Pelodiscus sinensis: one gene and its partners. The protein of the gene in region 4 purifies or fractionates together with the protein of the main gene of each other region. This does not show direct contact. Links are inferred from orthologs where the notes say so. Each region holds a gene or a part of one and is shown on either strand. Other genes may lie near its edges.

Region 1 (8,100 bases), on a different chromosome or scaffold from region 4:
GATGAGCAAATGCTTATTGGTTAATGCTACAGACTACATGCATTTCTCACCCCCGCAAGTACATTTTTTTGGCAGGCTGGCCAGCAGCCCAGCTCACGCCCAGCTTGTGCCAGGTCTGGGACTGATCCCTGCTACAGCTCTGCATTTCAAGAGAATTAGGAGCCAGGTGGGCAAGTAGCCTGGCTCTGTTCCAGCTCTCATCGAGGCTGGGAACTCTGACTCCTTCCCCTGGACAGAGGCTGCTGCCACCCTACACTGCTGCCTCTGTGTCAGAGTCAGCAGCGCAGGGCTACAGGCAGCCGGTCTGCAAGGGAAGCTGGTACAGAGGCAGCAGCGCTGAGTGGCAGGGGCCTCCTTGGGAGTGGACTACAGAATAGTTGATTGACCTCATGAATTCTTATAGGTTAATGGACATTTCATTAACCGATATTTAACGTCCCTATTAGTTACTACAGGATCTAACACTATCATAAGTGGAATGTCCACACTTAAGCAGCCTTTACAATGAACACCCCACTGGTAAAGGTATAAATAGCAGGGCAGCCCATGAGTTACGGCTTAGGTGCATATAGCACTCTGCTTTCCTGAGTCCTAGGGTGTATACCATACATGGTGCTTTATGGACCAAAGCAATGGGCTTAAACTGCAGCAAGGGAGGTTTAGGTTGGACATTAGGAAAAAGTTCCTAATTGTCAGGGTGGTTAAACACTGGACTAAATTGCCCAGGGAGGTTGTGGAATCCCCATCTCTGGAGATATTTAAGAGTAGGTTAGATAAATGTCTATCAGGGATGGTCTAAACAGTATTCGGTCCTGCCATGGGGGCAGGGGACTGGACTCGATGACCTCTCGAGGTCCCTTCCAGTCCTAGTATTCTAGGATTCTATGATTGTTTCCTGTATCTATGCTGTGGTAGCATCCTATTACTTCCATGCTGTCTGAGTTTCACCCTGCCATCAGGAAACACTGCAGAAGTGCTAAAAGGGTCTGGCAGTGGGGAAAAGTTCTGACAGCTGAAGCTTTCGCAGTGACCACAGATACAGCCTGCCTTTCACTGCGATGCAGTGCTGTATCCTATGCGCTGCCTCAAGCATGGAAAAGCTTAGACAAAGTGTAAGACTTCCACCATTTAACCTGTTTATCTGGAATGTAAACTGAAGAAGTGACTGACCAATTTATCTTCTAAGACAAGATAAAAACTCATCAGGCTATAAAGCAGCAATCAGTGTCAAGCTGCTGCAACCGTGAGGTTCGCAAGATCTTTTTATTCCTTAAGTGAACCTATTGTTACTCAGTATCATTTGTAATCCACCTTTAGATAAGTTGCTGACTGTTACATTCCAATGATATGTGTGCTTGGAAAACAAGTGCCAGTGAGGAAATTGAGTGGAACTTAAACTTACAGCTGTGGAAGGAAAAAGCAGATCTCTAGAAAGCTGGAATGTATGATTGTAATGGACTTTTTCCTTCACTCCCCTGCTATCCATAGTTCATATCCTGTCAGATACTCACAGGCCTCATTAGACGTGATGTTGGGATAATTGTCACACTCAGAATCTTTGGAGCTAATTATGACTTGAAGCTGCAATAACTCTGTTCCAGCATGAAGCGGCCTTTGACCCCGATTTTGCCATTGGGAATAACCAAAGATGTAATCATAATATCTGCACAAAGAAGCAAAACCAAAAAAGGAAGCTTTGAAGTGAGTAGTGGGCTCTCTACCCCACCCTTGGTCCCCACATTCTGTGCAATGGAGCTAGGGAAATTCTGTTCAGGGAATCACTAGGGATGTCAACATGTAGACAACTACATGATTAATCCATAAGCCCAGGCTTCCCCCTCAGTATCAGAAGCAGCAAGGTGGGGGAAAGCAGTAGCACTCAATCTGCTTCCCCCCTTTTGCTGCCTCTGATACAGACACAGCAGTAGGAGGATCAAGGAGGCAGGTGGGAGCTGGCTTTGCACACCTGCCTGCTCCTCCCTACAGAGGTCGGGGAGAGGCAGGCAGGAGCAGGTGCTGGGGGTGGGAGTGGGAGTAGGCCCAGGCTCCCTGCAGACAGAGACTGCTCTGCAGCAGCGCCTATCCGTGGGGGTCTGAGCTCCCTATGGACAGGGGCTGTTGCCGCACAGCAGTCTCTGTCTGTAGGGAGCTCAGGCCACCACCCCTGGGACAAGGGATGCTGCCACCTCACACTGCTGCCTCTCTTTTTAAACTGCCTCCCCTCACAGTCTGACTTTCAGCTCCCCTCTCCTGCTGCTGTCCCTGACAGAGGCAGCAACTTGGGATGAGACGGGCTCCTGGGGCCAGAGCTCACAGGCTGCCAGGCTCACCTGTGGGGATTACTGAATAGTCGTGTACCTGCTAACAACCCTAGGAACCAGGGCCACCCACCAATGAGCAGCTAGTTATAAAACCAATCAGGAGCCCGTCCGCAGAGGCTCAAAGTCCAGCTGCCTCTCCCCTCCGATGCGGTTGCGCCTAGGAGAAAGGGGAAGTCGCCCTCTGCTTTTCAACCCCGCACAGAGAGCGCCCCCCCTCAGCTGAGCGGGGCCGGGCGGGCTACGGAACAAGCCCCCGGCTCCGCCGACCCCGCCCGGATGGCAAGTGCCGGCCGCGCCCCTCACCTGCGGAAGGCGTCCTGCAGGAGGGCGCAGCCGGGCCCCGCCGTGGAGCCCGGGCCGTGCACCAGCTGGAAGCGGCTGGGGGCCAGCTGGAGCTGGCGAGGCAGGATGCTGAGCGAGCGGGGTAGAGGCCAGAGGGAGCCGGAGGGGGACTCGCCCGGCTCCAGCGGCTCCTCCTGCAGCAGGGGCTCGGGCAGCGGGGGGCGCTGGTGCAGGCTGGAGGCGGCCAGCGCGGCGGGGGCGCACAGAAGCGCCAGGAACAGGCAGGCGGGCTCCATGGCTCGGTGCTGCCTTTGCGATGAGCGCGGGCGGGCTCAATCGATCCCCGGGCCCCGCCTCCGACCCGTCACGAGGCAGCGAGGCGGAGCCGGGCTCCCTGCCTATGGGGCTGGCGCGGGCGCGGCTTCCCCGTGATGCTGTTACAAGGGCCGATTCCTCCTTCCCCCAAACTCTCAGGCGCCGCGCGTTGCCTCGACCGGGACGCCCGCCACGTGTCGGGTCAGCGCGCTGGGCTGCTGCCTCTGGTGGGGTTGTGTTAATAATTCTCCTGGGCGTGAGTGCCACACCCCGCCTTGGAAAGCGAAATGCCTGAGTTCCTGGGGTCGGACTCTTCTCTGCCCGCCCCCTTTTCTTGCCCTTTAAAGAGGAAACCCTCCTCTCCAGTACACTTGAGCAAAGCCTGGACCAAGTGAATGGGAGAAGTTGGTGGATCTGGTTACCCTGCTGCAGCAGCAAGTGACTCTCATTTCATCGCAGCTGGAGTAATGAGGATGACTAGTCCAATAGGCACTTCTGCATGCCTCCTTTGAAATGTACTGGAGCCCCTCGTGTGACTCTCGAACATTTCAAAGGAGGAGTGCAGAACTTTGTGTGCTGCATGGGGTCAGCGGGAAGTCCTGGTGGGGGCTCTCGCGCTTTTCAAAGCAGCAGCGCAGCATGGAGACTGGCGTCAACAGGGGACTCGGGACGGCTGCTTTTGTGGAGAAACTTGCCAGTTGTCTATACTGGCCGTTTGAATTTCCGCAAGAACACTGACTTCCTACTGTCTGAAATCAGTGGTTCTTGCGGAAATACTATGCTGCTCCCGTTCGGGCAAAAGTTGTTTTGTGCAAAAGCTTTTGCGCAATAGGGCCAGTGTAGACAGCTCAGATTTGTTTTGTACAAAAAAGCCCCAATCGTGAGAATGGCAATCGGGGCTTTTTTGTGCAAAAGCGCGTCTAGATTGGCATGGACGCTTTTCCACAAAAAGTGCTTTTTGCGGAAAAGCGTCCATGCCAATCTAGACACTTTTATGCAAATGCTTTTAACAGAAAAGTTTTCCATTAAAAGCATTTGCGGAAAATCATGCCAGTCTAGACGTAGCCACCAGGTTCCAAACCTCTCTGAGGCGCTTACCTTCTAAACAGGGGCTATAAAATCAGTTGTAAGAAAGGAGAAAACTCCAACAAGGTTTTTCCTCATGCTCACATACATTAATCCTAATTCTCTCTCAGTCCCCAGGGAGAGCCCTTGAGAAGGAGCCCTGCTGCTGCAAAGCCATGGGAGTCTTTGAGGTTGCCCCTGCCTTTCACCTCTGTCCTGCCTGGCTGTTGTCAGGGTCCCTCCCCACTAGTGTCCCCTAATAGGCTGAGGTCTTGCAAGAGGCCTTTGTGATGTCACTGCCACACTCACCTTCCCTTGTAAGGCTGGTGTCCTGACCTTGGCAGCCTCTTTGAATGTTTGACTGGCTTCCCCTGGATCATCACGCTTCATGACGGCTGAGTCTGGGGATGAAACTGGATGTACAGTGAAGCCTGAGAGGCTGCTCCCTATGCCACACTCGGTTTTTCATTTTCCAGTTGACTTTTAAGGTCAGAAGGGACCATTAAAGCATCAAATCTGACCAGGGCTGGCCCACAACATTTTTGGCACCTGAGGCGGGGAGCTCAAATGATGCCCTCATGCCTCCTTGCTGCACCAGCAGCAGACACAATTTTCTACACTCTGGGTCCTAATGGTGCTCCCTCTTCCACACACACACACACTCTGGCACCTGAGGCAGCCACCTCAGTTTGCCTCATGGTAAGGCCAGCCCTGAATCTGACCCCTGATATCCCAGCCCTTCTGTAAATCATGGTTGCTATGTTTTTATTCAAGCACACACTACAAAGGCATCTAGTATTCATTAGAAGACATCAAGAAATGGAGGATCTGTCACTTGCTTTGGTAGTTTGTTCCAATGGTGAATTCTCAGCGTGAAGAATTTGTGCCCTATTTGTAAGATGAATTTGTCTGTTTTCACCTTCCAGCCACTGGTCTTGTTCTGTCTTTTTCTGCCACACTGAACAGCTTTTTAATATCTGACATTTTCTCTCTAGGAAGGCACTTAGATATGTCAATGAAGTCACTTCTCAGCAGAGGTAAAAGTAAGGCAGTGCACCCTGGTGCGTCACTCCAGTAAGAACTGGCTGTGCTCCAGCAAGAGCCAGCTGGGGCACTCTACCTGTGTGAAGGGGCCAGCTGGGGGCATGCTGTAGGAGATGATGCAGTGTGTGGGGCTGGCTGCTCCCCTGGCTAGTCCATCAGTGCATACTCTGCTATGTGCCCACTCTTGGCTAGCAGGTTCTCCCATGCACACCCTTACCCATTTCCAGCCAGCACTGGCTGGTGGCTGCAGTGGATGGTGAGCATGGGTAAGCAGTGGCTGGTTACATATCACCTGTGCTGCCCACCCAGCTCCTCTTTACATGTTTTCCCTCTCACTATCCTCTCCCTGCTGTGCCCATTCACCCTCCTCCCCAGCCCCCTTCTTCTCCAAATTCCCCCAGCAGGGGGCGTCCCACTCATAGTGCTATGACCTATGTGGAGAATCAGCCACAGTCAAATTATTCAGCTCACTAACAGCCTGTCTGGCAGGCTCCTTCCTTCCCCAGCTGCCTCTGGTTGCACTGGGACTATGGGCGTCTGGTAGCCTAGGCAGGGGAAGGCTTTGCCTTACCAAACAACCAGGCATGGCCCTGCCCACACTCTGCCCCCAGAATGCCTGCTGTAGGCATTCTGGGGTCGGAGTGTTGCTACCCCCAGCACCTGCCCTCCGCGCTGATCCAGACCAGGGAAGCTGGGGAAGCATGCCACCCTCCCTCCCCAGGCTCTGGGATCTGGGGAGGGCGTGGGCCAGCTCGGGCTACGCAGCCTCCTCCCTCCCTGGTGCTCCGGGGAGGCTGGGGCATGCATGCTCTTCCCCTTCTTGTGATGGTGGGAGGGCACGTGTGTGTTCGGTGCACTTCCCCACCTCCTCTCCTCCCCATGGTGGGGGCAGGGCCTCAGTGGAGGGGATGGGGCTGTAGGTGAGACTGGGTCCTGCCTGGCTAGCTTTTCCATGGCTAGCACCCAGGGAGAGCTCAAGCTCTCTGTCCCAGGGCACTGGCCTGGAAGAACCAAGCCCTGCATGTGCCAAAGCCCCACATGGAGTGGCAGAAAGCTTCTCCACCTCTCAGTTAGCTTCCTCCCCACCACTCCAGAGCCTATTTCCAGCCTGTTTATGACCGAACTCTGCATGTCCCCAGCAGGGCCGGCCCGAGGCATTCTGGCGCTCCGGGCACGGGTGTGCGGCGCCGCCCCAGGGCGCACGGCACATGCACAGGTCCGCCCCTGGGGAGCGGGCCCGCCCTCCTAGGGAGTGTGGGCCCGGCCCCGGGGTGCATGGCACAAGCGCGGCCCAGTCCAGCCCGGCTGTCGCTGCTGGTGTGCGCACCGGGCTGTGTAGGGCCCCATGGCCGTGGGGGGAAGGGCGCTGCTGGCCGGCACCGCGGAGGTGCGGGTGGGCCAGCACTGCAGGAGCCGGGCACGCGGCACCTGATGGCAGCTGTAAGGGAAGCCACGTGCCCCTTACAGTTGCCATCAGGTGCCCCCCATCGGTTGGCGCCCTGGGCAGCTGCCCGGCTCGCCCATGCCTCTGTCCTGCCCTGGTCCCCAGAGAGAGGTGCTCCACACCCTCTTCACATGCTGCTCACTGTCCTAGGTCTGTCTCATCCCCACGGAGTGCTGGGCTGCACTGTCCCTTATGCACCCTCCCAAGCTGAGCCACCAGTTCTGGCCAGGTTGGCTGAAGCTCCTGCAGTCCGGTTTCCTGGGCTCTGGTGCTCCATGCATCCTTGGGGCTTAACTCCTTCCTGCCTGGGCTTTAGCCAGGGAACAGGAGGTGGCGAGGTTGTGTTGGTGGCCAGCAGCAGGTTGGAGATGTGAGCTGCCTTTCTACACTGCAGGCAGGAAGGGACAAGCTGCTTCTGGCGATAGGAAGGCGGGGGATGGTAGGGGACAGATGACCTCTGGAAAAACATGGGCCAGGTCATCCCTACCTCCACCCCCACCCCTATTTCACTGGAAGCAGATCTCAACCCTTCCCTCCTGCACAGTATGGAAAGGCTGCTGCTTGCCATGTTCTGGTGTGAACCCCAACAGATATTTGCAGAGGGGTCATGTGACCCTGCATACCCCACACATGTTGCCTTGAGAAGATCAGGTGCCAGGAGACATGGGTCCTTTCCAGGGACCCAGCCAGGCATTGGAGAGCACTGGGTAGGAAAGGGTGGGTCACGTTGGCCAGTCACTTCCATATCTGTTTGTGAGAGGTGTACCTGAGTGTGTGTGTGTGAGTGTGAGAGAGAGAGAGAGAGAGAGAGCGCAAGCGCTAGCTCCATGCAAACCTCAAAGATAAGAAAGGATCTAAAAAGAGTACAGCTAGCTAGGCAGTATTTCTTTTTAACAGGGGCCCGGTCAACTTGATATTAATTTGAACATTTATACTGCATAGTTCTGATTGATTGGCATTGAACTCACCTGAATGCAAACAGTTTTACCAGGTGTCCCATATTCAGCATAGGAAAATCTGGTCACTCTATTTAAATGGATCTTAAATCCATACTGTCAAAAGTTGCCTACTTTTAAAAGCAATTATCAGAGAAGTCAGGAACTGTGATGAGTGTGGTATAAATAACTGGCCAGGTAGACATATGTAAAAAGTCCATAAACAGGGTCCGCCTTCTTTATGTTATTGAATCTTGTATCTGGTGAGATTCCCACAAACAAAAGCTCCATTATAACCAGGTAAGCATGAGTAGGAGAAAGACAGCCACACCAGTGATTCAAAACAACAAACTGCATCCTCAAATCTCCCTTAAGAGTACTAGAAATTGCCAGCACACATGTGACATGTCCATGTACTTTGGCTAAGGTCAGCATTGAGGTTTTGTGCTGTAGTGCATGTTAGTGATGTGTGTAGTATGTGAGTGCTGTGGTTATTTTAACTTTTTAGAGGTAAAAGGAAGTTATTTGGAGAAGTGTGGGAATGGCTAATGGGGTGTGTGGGTGGTGAGACATCAGGGGTGTCATTTTTGTTCCTCCTCCCTATGAGTTTTCAGGATGCGATATAATCACATATAATGTTCTATACCCTGACACAACTTTCTCCCTCTCCTCCTGAGTTTTTCTCAAATGACAC
Region 2 (8,022 bases), on a different chromosome or scaffold from region 4:
CTGGGGCTCCCCCAGCCCACACATGGGGGTGGGAGGAGTCAGCTGGTCTCCAGAGGCAGAGGGGAAGGGGAGCTGAGCCAGTCTCACGCGTGCCAGGGGAGGAGGGCAGCAGGCCCAGGGGCATCGTGGAGGGTGTCAGGGCTATCGCTAGATGTCGGAGCCAGCTCCCCCGAGCCGCTACAGGCAGCGCCCGTGGGCCCTGGAGCTTGTTAGAGCCCATCACTGTTGCGGTGGGGGGGACCCAGTCGTGGGGGGCAGGGTCAGACTGAGGCCAGCCCCTCCCCTGCATCGCCTACCAGTGCACCGGCACCGCCTTGCTCTCCAGGATGGTCTGGGCCGTGCTCCAGCTGAAGCGCACAAACTGGGGGTACCCGAACACGGGGTCCAGGCACTGCGCCAGCCACTCCTTGGTCTTCGGGTCTGGGGGACAGGGAGAGATGAAAACAAGGGAGCCCCCAAAACCACCATTCACAGCTGCTTTCCCCACCCCCACCAACTGGCGGCGTTAGCTTTTCAGTCAGGACTCCTGGGTTCCGTCCCTGGCTCGGGGAGGAGAAGAGTCTAGTGGTTAGAGCCGGGGGCTGGGAGCCAGCAATCCTGGCTTCTCCGCCCAGTTTCATCACTGCCCTGCCCCATAACCTCAGCACCATGACCTTCGCCTGCGTCTCTGGAAGGCAAATCCAGGCTGATGCAGCCAAGGGGGTTTAAGGAAGGCTGTGGGGGAGGGGGGGCAGCACAGACCCCCTCCCCCTGCCCGTAAGAGGTGCAAGAGCCTGGACCCAGTGAAAGAAGGGAGCAGGTAACTCCTGGAGCTGGGTGGGAGACAGGGCGAGGGGGCGGGATATGGAGCCACATGGGCCGGCCAGGGTTTATCTTAAGCTCCACCCCGCGATCAGACGGATCCCTGCCCCTGAAGGGCCATTTACCATTGGGGTACCCAGACCCATACTCCAGGCTCACGTCCCCCAGATCCTCCAGGAACCGCCAGTTCTTCACAGCACGATCCCGCGCCACCTGCCAACGCAGACAGGCGGCGGCTCAGGGCAGCGCCTCGAGGAGCACTCTCTCCTGCCCCCAGCCCGCCCCTTTGCCAGGCTGTTCATTCAGGGACCCGTCACCCAGCCGTGAGATGCAGCCACCTCTGGGGAGGAGCGCAAGAGCTGTTGCGCCGCCGCACAGCGTTTGGGACAGGAAGTGAAGCTGAATCCCCGCATTAGTTCAACCAGTAGCACCCCAATAAGTGGATCTGGGGTGCCCCATATTTCACAGACCTGTCCCACCCAGGCCCAGTGCTCCGAGGAGGGCAGGAGGTCTGGCAACTCCAGCCCTCTCCTGAAGAGGGGGCCCACAACATAGAGAGGACCCCAAAACCTCACCTTGGCACAGATGCTGGCTGCACTGACGATGGGGAAGAGGGAATCAGCCTTCGGCCTCACGGTCACCTCCAGCTCCGGGAAGTGCCGCTTTAGCTTCTCCTGGTACTTCTCCGCCGGCCCCACCGTGTCCACAAAGACCTGCCGGGGTGGGGGGGACCCCATGAGAGTGGAAGCCAGGCCTATGGGCAACACACTGCTCTTCCCTCTCCCCCGCCCCACTAAACCTTGTGCTGGGACCAGGGCCCCACATGGGGAGGTGGCTGCCTCGTTGCTGCATAGAGAAACTGAGGCACAGGTGGCAGGAAGTGGGGGAGCAAGCGTCATGTCAGCGCTATGCCCACTGGCTAAGGCTGGCGATGGGATTGGGACACTTGGGGGGCAGACACCTGCCCCACGGGGACACTGCTCACCTCTGTCACCTGTACGCCCGCGTCCAGCACGTGCTGTATCAGCCCGATGGCCGTGTCGTGGGACAGGGCGTTGAGGTTGTATTTCGCCCTGGCCGGGAGAGCAGAGGGGTCAGTATCTGCTGGAGACCTGGGCCCCACCATGCCAGGCACCGCCTGGACATAGAGCAACCTCTTGGAGGCTCCACTTCCTCCCGGGACTCGGCTCGGAGGGTTAGCACAGGCAGGGACACGTGGCCTTTCAGCGCTGGCTGATTCAGCCCCAGGCGGGGGGCCTGACTGGCTAGGGGGGGCGGCTCAGGCAGAGGGGGAATGGGGGGGCTGGTGAGCCCATGCACACCTCCTTCCCCGGGGCTCTCACCGCTGCTGCATGCTGGTGGAGATGAGGTTGGGCGAGAGGATATGCAGGGCCCAGCCGATAAAGTCCCTGGCCCCGTCCAGCGTCCCAAACAGCTTCTCCCGCTCAGTCTCCGTCAGCGTCTTCGAGTCTGGGGGGTGGGGGAGAGGGGCACGACTGTCGGAAGCCTCGGCCTTCAGTGAGACCCTGGGGGGACCCACATGATCCAACATTCCCTCTCTGGGGCCCTTCCCCCCCAACAGTCCACTACCCCTGCCCCCACTCTCCCCCCCCCACCCCGAGATCCATACCCCAAGCCTCAGCTCTCCAGACCCTTCCCCCTCTCTCTGCCTCTGTGGTCAGGGCTGGAATCCCCCACCTAAGATCTCTCCCCACAGGGGGCATTCACAGGAAGCCAGGGTGCCCCCCAACTCTGCCTCCCATCCCCTGTGATGCTTTTGTCCTTACCTGCCATCTTCAGAGCTCCCAGCTCCTCCTGCTTGGCCAAGGGGCAGTAACAGACACCATAGACCATGGGACCTGGGAGGGAGACAGGGTCATGGGGGGAGGAGGAGACCAGCCCTACCCAGGCTATGGGGAGGGAGGTAATGGGGCAGGGCCCTTCTATCTCCCTGGGTGCTATTAATTCCCTGCCAGCTATGGGCTCCCCAGCTGGACCCACCTCCCCACCAGGGAGTAGGGACGGGGCGAAATCCTGGGATACCTTGTGCTCCAACCCCCATGGTCCCTCCCTCACTTTACAGGGGGCTACCCCCACCGCAGCAGGTAGGAAGGGGCCCTTCCCGATCACTCAGGATGGGCCCCTGCCCCCCATCTCTAGGCGACGCGGAAGAGGGACTCTGCTCTATACAATGCAGAGGGCTTCCCCACATGCAATATCGGGGGGGGTCTCCCAAGCCCCTCCCCCGTGCAACTCTGGGGGGGGGTCTCCCCTGCCCAGCCCCCACTGGTGTTTCCCAAGCCCCTCCCCCGTGCAACTCTGGGGGGGGGGTCTCCCCTGCCCAGCCCCCACTGGTGTTTCCCAAGCCCCTCCCCCGTGCAATCCTGGGGTCCCCCCCGGTACCTAGCACGGGCCCCCTGCCGGCCTCGTCGATGCCCAGGCAGCAGGGCCCGGCCTTGCACAGCTGGGGCACGGCGGACCCCAGACGGCAGCTGCCCGCATTGTCCCGCTCGAACTCCCCCAGCTCCATGTTCCGCGCGCCCGGCCCAGAGGGCGGGGCCGGCCTCGCACAGACCCCTGGGAGTTGTAGTTCTAAAACAGGGGACAGCACCATGCTTGAGCTGGGGGTGGGGGGGCAGGACTCCTGGGTTCTATCCGAATTCTAGAAGGGGAGTGAGGTCTAGCGGTTAGAGCAGGAGCTGGGGGCCAGAACTCTATTCCTGCCTGAGGGTAGGGGGGGTGTCGGGGCTCCTGGATACGTTTACACCAGATTAATTGAATTAATCACCCGTTGCTATTTTTAAGAGCAACCACTGATAGTTGGGGGGGCGGGGGCTTGAGCCCCACAGATTCTTATTAGGAGCTTCCAGAACAGTCCCTGAGATTGGCTCAGATTCCCTCGGAGGGGGAAGGCCTCATGTCACTCCCATTCCCACAGGGCTCACCAGTGCTTGTGTAGGGCACGGGGTGGCCTTTAGGAATGAGGGCTGCCGCAGTTAGGGGGCATCTGGGGAGGGCCATGGGGGAGTTATGTGGGCTCCGGGGCATGTGCATGGGTAAACTCTTGTGCAGCTCACAGGGCCATTCATAAAACCACAGCCTCACCCCCGGAACCACCCTAAAATTATGTCCTAATCCCCCCCTCCACCCACCCTTCCGAAGCCTAAGAGGCTCGGAATCATTGCACCAGTGGGGAAACTGAGGCACGGAGGCTGGGGGGTGAAACTCTCCGCCGCTCAGGCCAAGGGAATCAATATAAACGGACTCAGCAGAGCCACCAGGGATGAATAGACCCAGTCAGCCCAGAGCTTGGTGCTAGCCCCATAGGGGAGCCTCTCCGTCATGGGCTGTGGGATTCCAGAGCAGCATTAAGTAGCAGAGGGGTCGCCATGTTAGTCTGGATCTGCAAAAGCGGCGAAGAGTCCTGTGGCACCTTATAGACTAACAGATGGATTGGAGCGCAATCTTTCGTCAGATGCATGCATCTGATGAAGTGGGTCTTTGCCCACGAAAGCTTATGCACCAATCCATCTGTTAGTCTATAAGGTGCCACAGGACTCCTTGTCGCTTTTGCAGAGCAGCGTTGCAACCCCACCTTGCATGCACCGCAACGGGGAGTGTCTGCCCCCCCCCCCGTGCAATGCTGGGGGGGGGCATAGCCCTGTCCCCGCGTGCAATGCGGGGGGGGGGGCTCATAGCACTGTCCGCTCCCTCTATGCAATGCAGGGAGAGCCTCTAACCCCGCCCCCCTCTGGGCAACGCAGGGGCTCCCATAGCCCTGCCCCCCACGTGCAATGCGGGGATCCGTGGCTCCACGCCCCCCGCCTCCACGTGTCATGCGGGTGGTGGGTCCCCTTGGGCTGGGAGATCTAACTCTGCCCCACACCCCGGTCTCCATCTCTCAGTTCACCCCTTTCCTTTACCTCCCCCCCCCCCCGGCTCCAAATGGACCAGCCCAGCCCGGAGGGGAAGGGGCGTGGGAGGGGGCGGGGTGGCTATAAGACCCGGCTGCAGGCCGCAGGGGGCGAGCCGTGCACGCGCTGCGGGGGTAGGTGCTGGTGCATTGTGGGCGCGCGCGGGAAAGGACAAGGTGGGTGCCTCGCGCAGCCGGGCATGGGGGGGGCATTTCTGCAGCCGGGCTTGGCGCTGTAGGGTGCACGAGGCTGCGTGTTTGCAAAGGGGCCGCTCTAAAGCGGGGGGGGGGTTAAAGGCTGCCCCGGGAGCCCCTGCGTGCAGGGGGGGGGGTCCAGCTTGAAGTCTAAGCTCTGAGGCCTCTATCCCCGTGTGGGGGTTGTAATGCGGGGGGGGGGGGGCTTTTATCCTCTTCCCTCCAGTCGCTGCAGCCCCGGCTGCCGGCTTGCGCTTCCCACGCGGCTGCTCTTGCTGGTGCGCCCCGAGCTGGCTGCAGCCTCGCTCCATTGTCCCGCTCCCCCCCCCCCCCCCCCCCCCAGCGGCTCCATCCAGTTTGCCAGATCCTGGATGGGTTGGGTTGCAGGATTTTGGGATGAGAAGTGCTTTGTATGTGCAAAGTGCCACTCACCCACGGGTGGCTGATGGAGGGAGGGGGCAGGGTTCACAGCAACTCAGCTGTGCCTGTCTGGGCAGAAGGATGGCTCCTCTTCTGGGCTCTGCCGAAAGGTCCCACCCCAGGGGCTGCCAAGCTAGTGCAGGGTAATACGCTCTCCTCCCCCTGGGCCAGCATTCCTAGTGCCAAGCTAAAACAGCTGGTGTGATGAGCCATGGGTTGGGAGTGGGGAGGGCTTGAAGCTGGGATTGTCCACGCATTGAAACCGGAGCAGGGAGTGGGCTGGGAAATCCACCCTCTACCTGCTTGTCTGGTCCAGCTCGGAGCTGCCCCTCTGCAATGCTGCAGAGAACTGGGGGTCTCATCACAGCAGCCAGCCTGACCCCGGCTTCTCTCGCAGGACATGGCTTGCGGTAACGCTCACATCGGCAGACCCGCCCCAGGCTTCCGTGCCACTGCCGTGGTGGACGGGGCTTTCAAAGAGATCCAGCTCTCCGACTACAGAGGTGAGAGGAACCAGGCCAAGGGCTGTGCAGAGGCCCTGCTAATCCTGGGGTGCTGACCGAAGGCAGCGGGCGCCCCCCGGCCAGTGCTTCTCCCTTGCTCCCTGCTGCAGCTAGGTTACCTGGAAACGCTGCTTGCACAGGGTGGGGAATACTGGGGCACTCTGGTGCCAGAGGGTGGAATCTGCCAGCCTGGGGGGTTGTCGGGGTGTGGTCACAGCCATGACTTGGGTGCCCAGTTCAGCTCCAGCCCTGGGCGATGAGAACTGGATGATGGGTGACATGAGTTGGCTGGTTTTGGGACAGCCTGACTGGGTCCAGCCTCTCAGAGCAGCTGGGGACTGAAGAGGCCCCCATTTGAGGGTTGGGGGGTGTCCCTGTAGGGCAGGGTTAAGGCCCTGGGGGGGGGGGTGCCTGGGAGTTTTGTCCTTCCACTGCTGTGCAGGCCAGTGTGCTGCGCTGTCTCTTTAAAGAATAAATGGGGGCGGGGGGGGCTCCCTGGCCAACCAGGTCAGCTGGCATGTGATTGGTGCTTAGCCAATCCCAGCACCACTGGCTACAGGGTTCCCTCATCAGCTGGCTTGCAAACAAGGCCTCAGTCAATGTGACTGGCTCCCCCCAGACCCAAGCAGCATCTCGATCAGTGGCACCCCCTACCATTGCTACCCCCCACATTGACCTGTCCCCCTTCCCCCCCCCCCCCCCAGGCAAGTATGTGGTGCTGTTCTTCTACCCACTGGACTTCACCTTCGTCTGCCCCACCGAGATCATCGCCTTCAGCGAGCATGCCGAGGACTTCCGCCAGCTGCAGTGCCAGGTCCTGGGCGCCTCCGTGGACTCCCACTTCAGCCACCTGGCCTGGTGCGTGGCCAGGGCCCCTGGCTAGTGCCGCGAGTCTCTCTCCTTCCCAGGTGCCCTGGACTGGAGACGGAAGTGCCCTGGGATGGGTGAGGCCAGGGCAGGCTCCTGCCGGGTCGGCGCTATGGGGGCCTGGCACCGCTGGCTGGTGCCAAACCAGGCCCCCTGGTGCAATGGGGCTGTGAGATCTGGAGCGCAACCTATGTAGTTGAGACAGGGGTTCCCTTCACCTGCTTAACCAGGCCCCTCGGGCAGGGAAGGGTTGGAGGGATCAGAGCCCTGGGGGTTGGAACTGCCCCTCCCGGCCTGTTCCAGAGCCTCCTAAACCATCCGACGGTGTCGTGCTCCCTGGCCCGACGGGGGCAGGGTACGTCCCTCCTTGGCTGTGAAGTGCTGGGCTAGAATCCAGCAGCCGTTACCCGCTGTCCTAGAGGGGCGGGGTCCTGCTGGCTTTATCTGGGGTGGCCTCTGAGAGCATCCTTATCACCCCTCGCCAGTGGGGTCGGCCGGAGACGGGCCCGTGATGGGGGTGGGGAGTGGCTGGCTAATCTGGCATGTGCCTGCCCTGGTGGCAGGGAATGACCCATGTGCAGTGTGGGGGTTTACCAGCCTGTGCGCCCCCCATCTGAGCACTGTTTCAGGTCCTCAGATCTTGTCTAACATGGATGTGTCCGCTCCAAGCCTTGGGGGGTGGGGGGGGCGGGTGTCCCTAATGTGAGCAGCTGCCCCCAAGCTGCCGATGCTGTGAGTCTGGCCCATGGCTGGAAAAGGGCCGGGTGACGTCTGCTCTGTGGCCCCAAGACAGCACCCCTGGGGTCAGGCAGCTCATTCCCTGGGGTGCCTCTAGTGGGGAGCTGGGTCAGATCTAAACTTGGGGGAGAATTGGGGGCGCAGGGATGTGGCTAGGCTTGGAGGGAGCATGAGACTAACCCCCTTGTCTCCTGGTAGGATCAACACCCCCCGGAAGGACGGGGGGCTGGGTGCCATCAACTTCCCCCTGCTGTCAGATCTCACCCACAGCATGGCCACCGACTACGGGGTGCTGAAAGAGGACGAGGGGATCGCCTACAGGTCTGGGGCGGGGGCAGGGTGACTGGCAGCACTTGTGCATGAGCTGCTGGGGGCGGGGGGGGGGGATGGACTAATACTGTCACTCCACCCCCATGGCCAGCACAAGGTGGAGGTGTCTGGTGAGCGGGACACTGACCTGGGGCATAAGAGCCCCAGAGGGGCACCAGGGCAGGGATATGGGGGGGGTGCTGGGACTAGGCAGTCGCTGTGAGATACCAACTCTAGGGTGGCACTTGCCCTGAGGTGACCTCCCCATCTGGAGTC
Region 3 (7,481 bases), on a different chromosome or scaffold from region 4:
AGAGGCCGGTGTAGACAGGCAACATGCATTTCTTGCACAAGAAGCCCCTATGGTTAAAATGGCCATCAGAGCTTTCTTGCACAAGAGAGCGTCTACATTGGCATGGATGCTCTTGCGCAAAAGCACATGCCAGTGTAGATGCTCTCTTGTGGAAGAGTTTTTACACAGGAACTCTTCCGCAAAAGAGTTCTTGGGCAAGAAGCTGCCAGTGTAGACGTAGCCACAGTGTATATGGAGCGACAAAAAGCAAAAGAGAACTATCAACTTTCAATACAACACACAGAAACAAAATGTAAAAAATTTCTTATGCCAGAAACACAATTAAGATGTTAGTAAATTGGACAGATTTAAAATATTTTGTTGTAGACTAGTCTTTCCTATTAAGGCCTTAGTATCCACGGGACTACTTGTCCAATTCTTCTGTTTGAAAAGATGCATTTACAAACCATCTTTCAAAGGAGTAAATAAAATATAAATTGCAAAAAAGAATTCAGAGTCAGCATTCTACAATGAAAAGCTGAAGTGTGATGTTCAGCCAAAACTCTGGCTTTAATTTTGTATAAACAAACATGGATACTATTTTTCCATACATACAACATTATCAAAGCAAGGCTAACTCTGGAATTGGTACTAAACCCCATCCAGAGGCCTTAATAAACTGCCCATTTGAGATGCAGGCATTTTGCAGATAATCCCATTTGGGCTAACTTGAAATTCTGTAGAGAATTAGTTCCAACTGAGAGGCACAAAATGAAAAGGTTTGGCCCTAGGCATAAATTCTTTAGTTCTGAGATTAATTCAGCATTCCTGCTTTCTTTCTTTCTTTCTTTCCAGTCATAGTATATTTACTAGTACAGTGAACCTATACACACTTTGTTAACAATCAAATTTCCCCAAAAGGGTCATAATTAAGCTGTCAAAATGTTAAGTGCACGCTTTCTCAACCTGAATCCTGTCCAATCTTGCATCATCAAAGCTAATAAATACATGAGTAAAAGAAGCAATGTTCCAGAAAGACAAAATGCAAATCACTGTCTGCTCCGCCCCTCCCCTGCACACAAAGGAATCCATCCCCCCTTTCATGAACATATACCCAAAGTCACACAGGTAGGACACTGAGAAGGAAGGTTCAGCCCTGATGTTTAACAGTTATCTATCTTATCTTTAAACTGACTAGTTTTTAAACAAACTCTCCAACATGAAGGATTTTTATCACTGCTCTTATCTCACACATACACTCCATATATACCCCTTTTATAAACATCCATTCCCCCACATAGCTTGCCTCTAAACCATACCCCATATATAAGCATCCATTCCCCCACATAGCTTGCTTCTAAACCTTTGCATACACCCCAATACAGTACACAACCCTCCATGCAAAAATGGACTCCACTGAACTTTACTCAAACAGCAGTCCTGAGGTACTAGGGCTATGAACTGCAAAGTGTGTTGACAGTGCCAAATTAAACACTGTCTAAACATATATTCCCACCCATATATACATACATACTACCCCAAATTGTTTAGTAGCTGTATCTTTTTATTTGTGCAAAAAATGGTTCCACATCAAATTCTCTACAGAAGGGCTTCACTGAACTGCACCAAGGAGTTCACATTAAAAGGGACAGTGATTCAACCTTTGCTCATTTCAAGTTTTGGGAAATGCAACTACTGTACTTCTTCAAAACTCCAGATTTCCTAATACTGAAAATTCTCTCAAATCAGCCCATCCCATACTGTGCATTTGCTCCCAGAAACACCGTGCAGCACTGCAGACAAACTCCCTACATATGGTTCAGCAGTCACCTGCTGCAGATTTTAAAACTCAGTAAAAATGAAATCTAGGGGCAAATTCTGCTTTCAGTTACTCCAGTAAGACCCCATTGAACTCAAAACCAGTAACTGTATTGGACAGTGTAGCCACAGCCGAGGGCAGTATCTGGGCCACTTCATTTCACTAGCCAAGTGACCTGCAAATTGGGAAAGTGGGAGGACAGAGGAAAAAGCGAGGTTGTAGGACTAACACAAGGGGCAGGTGGAGGCCACTGGACTGGGCAGAAGGAAGGGGGGTCTGGGAAGAATTACACGGAAGGCCTAAGATTGGAGGTAGTGATAGAGGATAAGCAGGGGACAGGCTGCACGAGGAGGCAGTGAGAGGGGGACTGCAGAAGGGCAGCCTGCACGGAGGGGTTGATGGGGGGAGGCTGCAAAGAAAGCAGAGCTAGGAGCAGGCCACACAAAGGGGGTGCGGGAGGCGGGCGTGCAGCGTGAGAATCTGTGGGGCTGGTGCCCGGCCGCAGGAGGGGGGCACAAGAGAAAAGTAAGCAGCGTGGGGGGGGCGGCTGCCAGGCCTCATGGGGGAGGAGTAGAGATGCGAGAATCTGTGGGGCGGATGCCCGGCCGCACGAGGGGGGCGCTGGAGGCGGCCGAGAATCGCGGGGATCTGTGGGGCGGGTGCCCGGCCACACGAGGGGGGGCGCAGGAGGCGGCCGAGGAGCACAGGGCTCTGTGGGGCGGGTGCCCGGCCGCACGAGGGGGGCGCAGGAGGCGGCCGAGGAGCACGGGGCTCTGTGGGGGGGGTGCCCGGCCGCACGAGGGGGGGCGCAGGAGGCGGCCGAGGAGCACGGGGCTCTGTGGGGGGGGTGCCAGGCCGCACGAGGGGGGGCGCGGGAGGCAGGCGAGGAGCGCGGGGCTCTGTGGGGCGGGTGCCGGCGCCAGGCCGGAGCCCCGGACTCACCCGGAGCCGGCGGCGGTGGTGGCCCGGATGGAGCTGATGCGCAGCCGGTTGGCCGCGTCCTTCAGGGCCTGCAGAGCCTGCTGGTCGGGTTTGTGATAAGCCTCCATGGTGCGGCGGGAGAGCGCGGGGCCTGGCCTAGGAGCAGAGTGAGGGACCGTCCGCGCCGCCTGCCGGCTCCAGCGAGACACACCCAGGCCGCCGTGGGGCCACCCACAGGCGGGGCCAGCCCGAGCTGCCGCTGGGATTAGCGGGTCGGCGGCCGGGCACGGGGTGGGATTGCCATGGGGATTAGGGCCTGGCGCTCGGGATTAAGGGGTTGGGTGAGGGGTGTAGCGGCGGGAATTAGGCGGCAGCGCCGCAGGAAGTCCCAGGCTACGAGCAAAGGATCTCCCCCCAGTTAGACCCCCCCCCCCCGGGAACAGAAGCTGCTTTCCACTGACTGTGGCTGCGTTTCAATGCGCTGTGCCAAGGCTGTAAACCAAGCACGTGCGAGACACGGCTCGTTACGGCACGTGCAGCGCAACAAGGCAGGGATGGCGCAGCAGATCTGCAGCCTTTCCCCAGCCAAGGAGCCCTACAGGGGTAGGATTGCAGAACCGGCATCCTCTTACCGTTAGATAAAGCTGATCTTTCATCATTCTACTCTATGGCCGTGTCTAGACTGGCTAGTTTTTCCGGAAAATCAGCCTCACCAAAGCCAAATAAAGGGGAATGATGACATCTCTGGATCTGCTGGCAATGCTCCTCTTAATGCAACCTAATATGCCATTAGCCTTCTTGGCTACAAGGGCCCCCTGTTGACTCATATCGAGCTTCTCATCCACTGTAACCCCCAGGTCCTTTTCTGCAGAACTACTACTTAACCGGTTGGTCCCCAGGGACAGAGAGTGTTGGGGTCACTGGCACAAGGGATGTAGGGGTGCAGGAATCAGGATTGATGTGTATGAGGGGCTCAGGGCAGGGGACTGGGATGTGTGGGAGTTGCAGGAGGCAGGGCTAGGGGGTGGGAAGGAGAGTATGTGCAGAGAACCCTGGGATTGGATTACCTTGCCTGGATGGGGCTGGGCTGCTGCACCCAGGCAGCAATGGCTAGATGAGGGGCTGGGCCAGGATTGACACAGCTGGATCATGGCCTCCCCTCCTATCCATGCCACGGAAGAAGATGGGGGACCACCATCAGCCCTTCCTGAGGCCACATGGGGGCTGCTCCTCAGGGCCTGCCTCATCATCCTAGCCAGGGAAAGGATACTGTCCAATTAGGGCCTTGTTGGCCCCAGCTCTGGCACATGGTGCAAGCTGCCTGCCACAGCTCCAGCCCGGGGGGGCTTTTAAACTGGCTCCCCCCAGCAGTGGCTCCTGCCTGCCTCCCCCCACCTCTGTAGGAGGGAGTGGGCAGGGGAGGGGAAGAGAGAAGGTGGGTCTGCAGAGCTGATACATGTAGAGATCCTACTTGAAATCTGGCTTCCTGCATATATCAGCTCCAGCCTACCGCCTCACCCTCTGCCTCTCTATCAGAGACAGCAGCGTGAGGGTCAGGGGGGCAGGTGGATCTGGCACTGGGGGGAGCCAGCTTTTAAACCGGTTGCTCACAGGCACTGGCTCCTGCTCGCCCCTTGCTGCCTAGGCTTATTGGTTAATCATGTACAGGCGGTCCCCGGGTTACGCGGATCTGACTTATGTCGGATCCGTACTTACGAACAGGGCTTTTCTTGCCCCGGAGGACGCGGGCGGCAGGACCGCCCAGACGTGCCGCGGTCCCGCCGCTCGCGTCCTCCGGGGCGAGAAAAGCTGCTCCGCGTCTTCCTGGTCTGCTTGGGGGGGCCCCCAGCAGACCAGGGAGATGCGGAGCAAAGCCGCGGCGGGACCGCCCAGACGCGCCGCAGTCCCGCCGCCCGGGTCCTCCGCGGCTTTGCTATAGTCAGCCGCTGGTCAGTTTCAGCAGCGGCTGAATCTGGATGCCAGTTCCGACTTACGTACAAATTCAACTTAAGAACAAACCTACAGTCCCTATCTTGTACGTAACCCGGGGACTGCCTGTAGTCGACTACATGGTGGCTCCCCTAGTCACAATTCATGTTTCTCTCCCTCATTACTGAGAGGTTTTTTTTTTTTTTTACAAGGCTGCAGAGTTCCCCAAAGACACTGAATTTCCCGGAAAGTCAGACTGCCTCTTGAGGCCTGCTTTGTTTCCCCCTCAGAGACTATGAACAAGATAAGTATTCACAGTTATAGGGTACTATACAGCATTTCTAAAATAGACAAAATACAGGACAATGTAGCACTTTAAAGACTAACAAGATGGTTTATTAGATGATGAGCTTTCATGGGCCAGACCCACTTCCTCACATCACATTTCAGAACAGAAGGGGGATGCAGGCGGGGGGGGGGGGGGAAGGAAGGTAAATGTCTGTGAGCTAATGGTATTAGAGGTGATAATTGGGGAAGCTATCTTTGTAATGGGTAAGGTAGTTGGTGTCTTTGTTGAGCCCAACACGTAGAGTGTCGAATCTTAGCATGAATGACAGTTCAGAGGATTCCCTTTCAAGTGCAGATTTGAAAGGCTTCTGGAGTAGGATGCAGGTAATTAAGTCATTGAGACAATGTCCTTTCTGCACTTGAAAGGGAATCCTCTGAACTGTCATTCATGCTAAGATTCGACACTCTACGTGTTGGGCTCAACAAAGACACCAACTACCTTAACCATTACAAAGATAGCTTCCCCAATTATCACCTCTAATACCATTAGCACACAGACATTTACCTTCCTCCCCCCCTCCCTGTACCCTTTCTGAAATGTGATTTGTCCTTTTCATATGTGTTCACTTTTTTTTTAATTGTATCCTTTAGTATATATGGTTGTGACTATTTTCTTCCACTATTTGATCTGAGGAAGTGGGTCTGGCCCACGAAAGCTCATCATCTAATAAACCATCTTGTTAGTCTTTAAAGTGCTACATAGTCCTGGATTTTGTTTCAGCTACACCAGACTAACATGGCTACATTTCTATCACTAAAATAGACAGGTTCATTTGTAAGGTGAAAACGTTGCACAAAAAAATAAGAAAGGGACCAACGTACAGACTAATAAGTTTATCAGAGATCATCCCACCTCCCAAAAGAGCTGTGGTAGGAGTCAGTCCTTCAGACCCGATGGCTATGTCTAGACTGGCATGATTTTCTGGAAATGCTTTTAACGGAAAAGTTTTCCATTAAAAGCATTTTCGGAACAGAGTGTCTAGATTGGCACAGACACTTTTCCACAAAAGCACTTTTTGCGGAAAAGTGTCCGTGCCAATCTACACGCGCTTTTCTGCAAAAAAGCCCCAATCGCCATTTTCACGATCGGGGCTTTTTTGCAGAAAACACATCTGGGCTGTCTACACTGGCCCTTTTGCGCAAAAGGACTTTTGCCCGAACAGGAGCAGCATAGTATTTCCGCAAGAACACTGACAATCTTACATGAGATCATCAGTGCTTTTGCAGAAATTCAAGTGGCCAGTGTAGACAGCTGGCAAGTTTTTCCGGAAAAACTGTCCAGTCTAGACAGAGTCCATATGGTTACAAGTGTATTACACCTTTTGCTTAAAACAATAGCACCTTTGCATAGAACGTCTCACAGGGCTAGTCGTGTTAGTCTGTAACTTTAAAAACAACGAGTAGTTCTATGGCACCTAAGAGACTAAACAAAAATAACAGAAAAAAGGTATCTGTTAATTGTAGGACCGCTGCTAATGAGGCTAATTAAGTGGGCTAGGTGTGTCCCATATTTAGCCTTTGATGTAACAATGAGGTGTTAAAAGCAGAGGCGACTTAGTTAATGCTAGGTTAGTTTGAGCTAAGGATGTTAAATTTCGATTAATTAGCTACTTGAGTAATCAATTTAGTTTCCATCAACAACTCGATTAGTTGCGCTTGCTATTCCAACAGTGCCCTACCTTTTCAATGTAGTAAGAGCTGCTCGTGGCTCTTACTACATTTAAAAGGCAGAAGAGCAACAGGAAACACAGGAGGAGTGGGGATTGCTTGAGTCCCCGCTCATGCTATTTCCTCACTGTGCCTCTGCGTCCCGTGTCCCTCCCATCCCCCACAGAGACGGAGCTGGAGGGGAACTGGATTTTAAGCCGGCTCCCCACATTGCCTGTCTCTGATAGGCTTATCGGGTAGTTGACTAATCTACTACCCACTTACATCCCTAGTTCAAGCCCAGTGAATCAGTGTCAAATTTGCAGATTAATACCAATTCTGCACTCTCCCTCTGTAATGGTGTGGTGAAATTCCTTTGTAAAAGAATGGCTACTTTTAAATCCATGATTGGGTGCTCAGGAAAGTTAAAATGTTCCGTTATAAGTTTTTGAGTTATCATTTTTTATGTCTGATTTGTGTCAGATAGGTAGCCTTTCCTTGACACAATCTGGGTGTTTGCTCTGTAGAGATTGTGAATAGGCAATGAACCAGATAATGGGCTCTCTCTTCAGGACATAGCTTCTGCTCCCAAGGTGGGAGTTTGCATTTCTTCTCCCCTTTAAGTATTTCCTAGTAAACTCACTTAACTTTGGAGGAGTAGCAGAGTTAGCCTATGTCTAGACTGCAGGCTTCTTTTGGAAGAAGCTTTTCTGGAAGAGATCTTCCGGAAAAACTTCTCCTGAAAGAAAGCATTCACACTGCAAAAGCGCATCAAAAAAGCAATCTGCTTTTTTGAAAGATAGCATCCATTCAGTGTGGACGCTATCTCGCATTTCAG
Region 4 (7,426 bases):
CAGGGGTGCCAGTAAGTTGAATAGGGATGCAAGATCTGGGCAGGAAGTGAGGTACAGGATGGGTAAAGGAGGGTAGGGTCTAGGAGAGTCTGATGGCAGGAGAGGTGGGTGTGGTGGGGATGGGGGGGGGGTTGGGGGAAGTAATGCAGAAAGGGAGAGGGTAAGAACTCAGCCACACAGCTAGTTGGGGAGGGAGGCAAAGAAATGGGGAGTAAAGGAAAGCACAGCTTCTGCTAAGTAAAATTGTATCCCCCTCACATCTTCCCTCTGCTCCAGCTTTGCTCCTCATAGCACCGTGATGACCCAATACCTCATCCCCTCCCATTCTCCTTCATCCCTCCTACCCCCCATGGGTGGGGAGGGGGTAGATGAGAGTCACTTCCCTGCCTGGCTCAGCCCTTTGCTAAGGCTCACCTTTCACATGAAGGCTGCTGCTCTGGGGCTAGGGCAGGTAGAGCCTGTGGGCAGGTTCTAGTCCAGGTAGGCACTGTGGGGCACTGGGGAAGGGGAACCCCACCCATGCACACACCCCACGAGGAGCAGCACAGCCAGGACCCTGCCATCCCACAAAGGTGGCAGCAGCTTGTCACCAGCCACCCAAGCCTCAGATCTGCAGAGCAGCTCCAGCCCTGTCCCAGAGCAGAGCCTGTAGTGAGAGGGAGTTAACTCCTTAGCTCCTGGGAGCTGCACACCCAGGCTGTGCAGGGGCAGCTCCAAGGACAGAGCCCAGTACAGGTCATGCCACCTGCTCTGCTTGCTGGGCCACCCTAGTCCCCTGCCTCCCTGCTCCTTGCCCTTCCAGCAGGAAGCTGGTGCTGCAGCTGCATGGCAGCCACAAGACTCCAGCCACTTCCAGGAAAGTTCCTATTGTGCATGCCATTCAAAATGGGCTCATGTCACACCTACTGTAGGTTACTGACCCCTGCTATTTAACAAACAGTAATTATTCTGTGGGATTAAGAAAGTTATTTTGGCATCAATATTTTGAGACCCTTGTCAAGAGCCACATGCCTTCAAGGGAGTGTGTGCAATTTCATGCCTTAAATTGAAGTAAGGTATTTTTAAACTCTTCACCTTGTAGTATAAATACTGTGATTTCCTCATCCTTAGCACAGAAGTAATCTTAATTAGCCTCAGTTTATTCTTGAGTTAGGTAAAAGATGTCAACCTTTGTATCATCTTCTGTTTCCATCCCTCTTTAGACAGAAGTTTACTAAACTGCCTATCTGCAGGCAAATTTAGGGTCTACCCAGGTGCTACATTTGGTAATGACTGAAGGCAAGAGTTACAGAGAATGCTGTCCAATAGAGATTTTCCATGGTACTGACTACTGCTTAACTGCTTTAAACCTGCCGAACATTTTCAAAAAGTGAGCCTAGGAGTTTAAAATCATTACTTTGTGAACCTTAAAAATAATGGACTGAACAGACAGCAGAAAAGCCCATTCTCACTTTTGCCTAATGAATGCAGTGGCATTAACAGGGCACACCACCACAAATAGTCCTTTACAATGTATGCTCACTAGAGAAGTAAAATCCTGTTTAATTAGTTAACTGGTTAACCAATTAAACAGGTGGGCGGGAGGCTATTCCACCACCTCAACCTGTGGCACACCCAGGCCAGAGCAGCCCCATGCCACAGGCAAAGGGCTGCTCTAGCTAGGCCCTGACTGGATCAGCCCATATGTGCTGGAGCAGCCCCCACCAGTTAACCCTTCACATACCTAATACTAACCAATTTGTTTCACTTTGCATTTTGCTGTCACCATTCCCAGACCTGCAGAAGAGCTAAGTGGTCTAAAACCTAGTCTCATCAACAGAAGTGGGGCCAATGAAAGTCACTCCTCCCACAAGTCTCTTAGCTTAAGATGTCAGTTATGAAACTACATTTGTCATGCAGTTTTAAGTGGCTGCCTCCCTTTACCAGGAACTACTGCTATGCATATTACTACTTGAGTAAAACTGATGGGTAACACATGCCTTCACCAACACAAGTAAAACTCACCAACACAAAATCCTTGTGTATGTTCATTTACTATTACCTTTTCCCAGGTTACCTTTAGTTTTCCCAGGTTACCTTTAGTTCAACCCAGAAGACACTTCAGTCAGAGCAGCTCTAAACTATCCACAACTTGTGCAATTGCTAGTTAAGAACACAGCCCTCCAGCAGCTTCATAAAAGCTTAAGTTCAATTGCTGTTTTGTTGCCACTATGTACACAGGCAAGCTGAGTCAGTCCTACCAACACTGTCCCTTATACACAGAAGACTTTGCTAAGTCTTCCAGAAGACAGACCATTGCAGCCTGTAGGACATGGGTTCCCAAACTGGGGGCATGAAGAAATTCCAATGGTGCATGAGGTGACCCCCCCCCCCCCCAAAGTTTTTCTGCCCCAGTCAGTTCCTTTTTTTGCTCAACAAGTTTTGCTGGGGCCTGAGCCTTTCCCCAAAAATCAAGAAGGGGGCGTGATGCCAAAAAGTTTGGGAACCACTGCCACAGGATGTATTATGCCAGTGCTAGTGACAACAGGGCCGAGCCGTAAGCCAGCCAGCACCCACATTTGGGCTTTAGTCAATGCGGTCACCAGCAGCTCAGCTCTCTAGGGCAGAGCAGACCTTGGGCTCGGTCCCCACTGATCCCAAGCAGCCTGGGACTGGCGCCTGAAAAAGCCATTTGGAGGGGCAGGCTTGGCCACATGGGTGGAGGAGCTGAGACCCGACCCAAGGAGCCCCCTGCCCTGCCACCCGGGCAGTCCAGGCTCCCAGACCGTTTCCCCCCCCAGCCGAGCTCCCTGCCGCCGCCGCTCGAGGGGAGCGGGCGGGATTTGTACTTTGGAACCAGCCTCTCGTGCTGCTGCGCCGGGAGCTGGAGCGCGCCCCGCCCGCCCGGCTCCGCAGCGCCGCCTGCGCCTCTCGAGCCCCCCCCCCCGGCAGCGACCTCAGCGCCCGGCCCCGCCCGCCGTGACTCGGCACTTCCAGCCGCTCCCCCAGACCCCGGGGCTGAGCTGCCACGGGGGGGGGGGGGGGGGGAGCCGCTGGGCTGCCACCGGGGGGACTGACTCCTCCCCCTCCCCCTCCCCAGCGGGGCCGACCCCGCCCACACCCCCTCCCCGGCCTGACCTGCTGCTCGAAGTTGATGACGCCCTTCACCGCGCCCTCCCCCTGCAGCACGCACACGGCCTTCACCGCCGCCATGTTCTCGCCGCAGCTGCGCGCACACACACCCACGGCAAGCACCCCGCCGAGCCTTTTATAGCGGCCCCGCGCTGCGTGGCCAATCACAACGCGGCCTATTTGCCCGCCTCGGGAGAGGCTCAGCCAATCCAGGCCACCGAATCCGCCGCCCGAACCCACCAATCGGAAGAGGGAGCGCTATCGCCCCCCCCATTCCTAGTCATGAGGGTGACCGACCTTCACTCTGCCTGGAGAGGGTGGGGCCACGCCGCAAAGGCAGCGGACGAGACCAATCCGGGGGCAGGGCTGTGGGAGCATGTCCTACCGCATAGCCCAGCCCCATCCTGCCCTCAGTGTCTGTCCCTCTTGTCCTTTGGGGTTCTTAGTCTTTACTGTGTTTTGCTGGGTGTAAGGCTGTGAGCTTCCAAAGTTACAAATGGGGGGACCTTGCAAAACACACAAGCTGATCTTTCTGAAGCTTTTATAAGGAGACTATCAGGTGATCAGTGTTTCTTACATTAAAAAAGTCTTGATTTTGGAGCATTTATGAAATAATACCTTTTCACTGTGCTGGTTTTCCACACCAGCAGCCTGTGGAGATGGGGCTACATTTCAATGATTCCACTTAGATAAGGCTAAAACAAAATACTGCTACTTCCTTCATTTGAACCTTCTAGTCAGCCAGCCACTACTCAAGCCCTTATATCCCTGCAGAGCTGGATTTTATTATTGTCATTAGCTGGGCACTTTTCACTCAGCTTCTAGGCTCAGCTACTTACTAATAACTAAGGCCCTACCTAATTTATGACCAGGAAGAAGGTGGTCTTTTGTGGGCTGGTCTTTTGTGGGCTTTTACCTTACGCTACACCAGTTTTAAGGGGGAAACCAAAGTCTGCTAACTGAGGGCCAAACTGCAGACAACAACACAGCAGTTACAGTGGTAATAGCATACCATGCCATCCTTACTGCTGTGCTGCTGCTAGCAGCAGCTCTGCCTTCAGAGCTAGGCTCCTGTCCAACAGCTGCTGCTTTCTGTGGCCATCCATCTCTGAAGGCAACACTGTTGCCTGTAACACTGCCGGAGTGAGGGTTGCAGTGCTGCACCTCCACACGCACACAATGGCCTTGCAATCTCCCCACAGCTCCTTTTTGCGTCTGGCTGAAATAATAAAATTTACTATTTTTAAAATCCTATGATAATAAATTGACCAAAATGGACCCTTAGTAATAACCCAGCTAACATATATCTCTCACTCTCATGGAACCTTTGGGACCCATTATTCCATCTTACCCAGATAGTCTACACTGCCAGTTCTTCCGGCAGAAAATTTGCAAATGAGGGACTCATAGCATATTTTCTGCCATTTCTTTTTGTGCAAGAGTGTTTTGTGCAAAAAGAAGCAGGGTGGATTTTTTTTTTTTTGCACAAAAACCCCGTTTTGCACAAGATCCTTATGCCTGTCCTTATTCCAGTCTCATGTCTGCAAGCATTGAGGGTGATAAATATGCACTCGGAATATCACAGGACACATTGAGCATGCTAGAAAGTAGTCCAGCTACATCCTTGCAGAATTTGTGAAATGTAGGGGAAAGGGTTTATGAACACCATAGAAAGCAGATCACAAGAGCACTTTCCAATATGCATGGTAGCTTGGGCTACGTCTACATTGTGCATTCTTGCGCAAGAAGATATGCCGCTTATTTGCAGGCAGAATGGCTCTTGCGCAAAAGCCCTTTGCGCAAAAATGGCAGCTCGTTAGGTATGCAAATGAGGCGCGTTCATCACCGCGCCTCATTTGCATATCTTGTTGCACAACAATGCACAGTGTAGACATAGCCTATAGATAAAATCCTGGCCCCAGTGAAGTAAATGGCACTGAAAAGAAGGGAGCGAGGATGTCATATTACCATTTTTCTAAATATTTCTTGCCAGGAAACTGATAGATATGGCCTGTTTCCTCACTAATACAGAATGTATGGTGTTTTATAATCATCCAAAAAATTTTGTATTTAACACCACAAACCAGTGGAATTTGCCAGTCAGTGGAAAGTACCGGAACTAGCATCCCTCATTTTGGAGCTTAATCAGTTGCTTGTCAAGTATGTCTCTTATGGCTTAAAGCCTTGCCTTGGAGAACTCAGACGTTGCATGGGCTTTTAATATGACATGGGGTAACCTTCTTACACACAAGAAAATAAATGTAAACAAGAACAAATTAAAAAACAGAGTATAAAACAGTCTGATTAAGAATGCCTTCGTCTCACTCAGCTTTCAGTCCCCTCTGTTTTGTAATGTCACAATTTCATGTTGCCATAAAATCTTCCAGGGTAGGCAAGACTTGAATTCCTACTGTTAAAAACGTGATAAACCCTTGTTTCCACTTCATTTTACAAACATTTTTACATCATAAGCCCAGAAGTCTGTTTTTTCCCTTTTCTAAGGCCACCTTTTAATGACTGTGATAGAGTGGGAAATAAATAGCTGTATCAAATAATGAATTTCATTTTGTATTATGAGGTGAACACATGTTTAAGGTTACTTGTACTGCATTCCAGATAGTTGCCCTGCCCAGGAAAGGCATTTGCAAACTCATTGAGAAGCCATCAATACTACAACCTGAGGCCAGTGACTTTGCTTTGTCTCCCAACTGCCGGAATAATGTTGTTACTGCACAGGGGCTCACAGGTGAGGCAAACATCACAAAAGAGGGGTAGTCTTTCCAATTCTGCAGAAGCACATGGACCAGAGACAGAGGGCTTGTCTACATTGGCAAATTACTGTGCTGTAAGTTTTTCACTCAGGGGTGTGAAAAAACACACACCCAGAGCACAACAAGTTACAGGGCTGTAACTTGTCAGTGTAAAGAGGCTCCCAGAGCTGTTAGTTACTACCCACGTGGAGTTGGTTTGCCTAGAGCAGTGGTTCCCAACCGCCAGTCCATGCACTGGTGCTAGGCCACAAACTGCTGGCTGCACACTGCCAGGCCATGCCCATGCCTTGATAGGCCTGTATGCAGGGGGTGTGTGAAGGGTGTGAACGCACCTCCGATGGTCCCTGCGCTGGTCCCTCCCACACCCTGATGGGGGTGTCAGGCCCTTGTAGGGTTGCCAGATGGTTTAACCAAAAATACCCAACATCCCCTTCCCTTCCCCCAAAAAGAAACAATGGAGGAAAAATTCTGGGGGGAGGGGGGGGGGAGAAGGGGGAGACCAAAGTTGTTGAGCAAAAAAAAAGACCTCAAAAGTTATTGAGCAAAAAAATAACAAAATAAATAAAATAAAATAGCATGGCCCTTTTAAGTGCGAGGGGGGAGAGGTTGAGCATTAAAACCCAGGAAAGGCATTGCTTCCCCTTGCTTCAGGTCTTTTTGCAAGCAAGTCTGGGACTCTGAGTCCAAGGGTGTGCACACTGGGGTGGGATAAATATTGGCAGCTAGATAATTTCCTTTTACCTCTGTTGTACTTTGTTAATTGATGTTATTCAGTGTTAATTTGTTAAAGTCTGTTTCTTTAAGTTAAGTAAAGGTTGTTTATTCTAATGAAATCTATTAGATGTATATTATTTATGATTTGTAATTGTTGTTCTGGAGTTAGATCCAGTTTATTGCTGGAATATGTATATTCCTGGAGGTTCCCAAGGCACACCAGTCAGTGTGTTATAGGGCCAGCCAGGTGGAGGCACTGCCATTATATGTTCTTTCTGAGCAAGGGACAGCAGCAAAGGGATGGATAGGGTTTCCCCAACTAAACAACATCACCACTAGGGTACTCAGGATCTCCTTTTACGTTAAAACCATCAGGTGCCCAGGCATACCTGTGAGTGTGACCTGCTCCTGAGTAATCCAGGGAAGGAAAAAGGGGGTTACATATGCATGTATATGCAACCACACTTAAGTTAGGGGGGGAGGGATAGCTCAGTGGTTTGAGCATTGGCCTGCTAAACCCCGGGGCTGTGTCTAGACTGGCAAGTTTTTCTGCAAAAGCAGCTGCTTTTGCGGAAAAACTTGCCAGATGTCTACACTGGCCGCTTGAATTTCCGCAAGAACACTGACTTCCTACTGTCTGAAATCAGTGCTTCTTGCGGAAATACTATGCTGCTCCCATTCGGGCAAAAGTCCTTTTGTGCAAAGCTTTTGCGCAAAAGGGCCAGAGTAGACAGCTGAGATTTATTTTCCGCAAAAAAGCCCCGATCGCGAAAATGACGACCGGGGCTTTTTTGCGCAAAAGCGTGTCTAGATTAGCCAGGGACGCTTTT

What was found.
Region 1: the proteins of SOD1 (region 4) and HEXB purify together in Homo sapiens (affinity purification with mass spectrometry; 3 studies listed by BioGRID and IntAct, with this or other methods). This does not show direct contact. The link is inferred for Pelodiscus sinensis from reciprocal best matches to the Homo sapiens genes SOD1 and HEXB.
Region 2: the proteins of SOD1 (region 4) and PRDX2 fractionate together in Homo sapiens (co-fractionation; 3 studies listed by BioGRID, with this or other methods). This does not show direct contact. The link is inferred for Pelodiscus sinensis from reciprocal best matches to the Homo sapiens genes SOD1 and PRDX2.
Region 3: the proteins of SOD1 (region 4) and TKT purify together in Homo sapiens (affinity purification with mass spectrometry; 3 studies listed by BioGRID, with this or other methods). This does not show direct contact. The link is inferred for Pelodiscus sinensis from reciprocal best matches to the Homo sapiens genes SOD1 and TKT.

The regions. Positions count from the first base shown.
Region 1 is NC_134716.1:83,964,081-83,972,180, reverse strand, and holds the start of HEXB (beta-hexosaminidase subunit beta), read right to left. Parts: upstream 3,168-8,100; 5' UTR 2,900-3,167; coding exon 2,625-2,899; intron 1,664-2,624; coding exon 1,512-1,663; intron 1-1,511. UniProt on the Homo sapiens protein: Hydrolyzes the non-reducing end N-acetyl-D-hexosamine and/or sulfated N-acetyl-D-hexosamine of glycoconjugates, such as the oligosaccharide moieties from proteins and neutral glycolipids, or from certain mucopolysaccharides.
Region 2 is NC_134729.1:13,226,219-13,234,240, forward strand, and holds the start of PRDX2 (peroxiredoxin-2), read left to right. Parts: upstream 1-4,737; 5' UTR 4,738-4,891; intron 4,892-5,726; 5' UTR 5,727-5,729; coding exon 5,730-5,832; intron 5,833-6,536; coding exon 6,537-6,690; intron 6,691-7,635; coding exon 7,636-7,758; intron 7,759-8,022. Other genes in the region: RNASEH2A (ribonuclease H2 subunit A), read right to left, coding at 297-420, 927-1,014, 1,377-1,514, 1,787-1,874, 2,145-2,271, 2,589-2,660, 3,205-3,331.
Region 3 is NC_134721.1:30,856,458-30,863,938, reverse strand, and holds the start of TKT (transketolase), read right to left. Parts: upstream 3,092-7,481; 5' UTR 2,848-3,091; coding exon 2,741-2,847; intron 1-2,740. UniProt on the Homo sapiens protein: Catalyzes the transfer of a two-carbon ketol group from a ketose donor to an aldose acceptor, via a covalent intermediate with the cofactor thiamine pyrophosphate.
Region 4 is NC_134711.1:182,146,668-182,154,093, reverse strand, and holds the start of SOD1 (superoxide dismutase [Cu-Zn]), read right to left. Parts: upstream 3,277-7,426; 5' UTR 3,193-3,276; coding exon 3,118-3,192; intron 1-3,117. UniProt on the Homo sapiens protein: Destroys radicals which are normally produced within the cells and which are toxic to biological systems.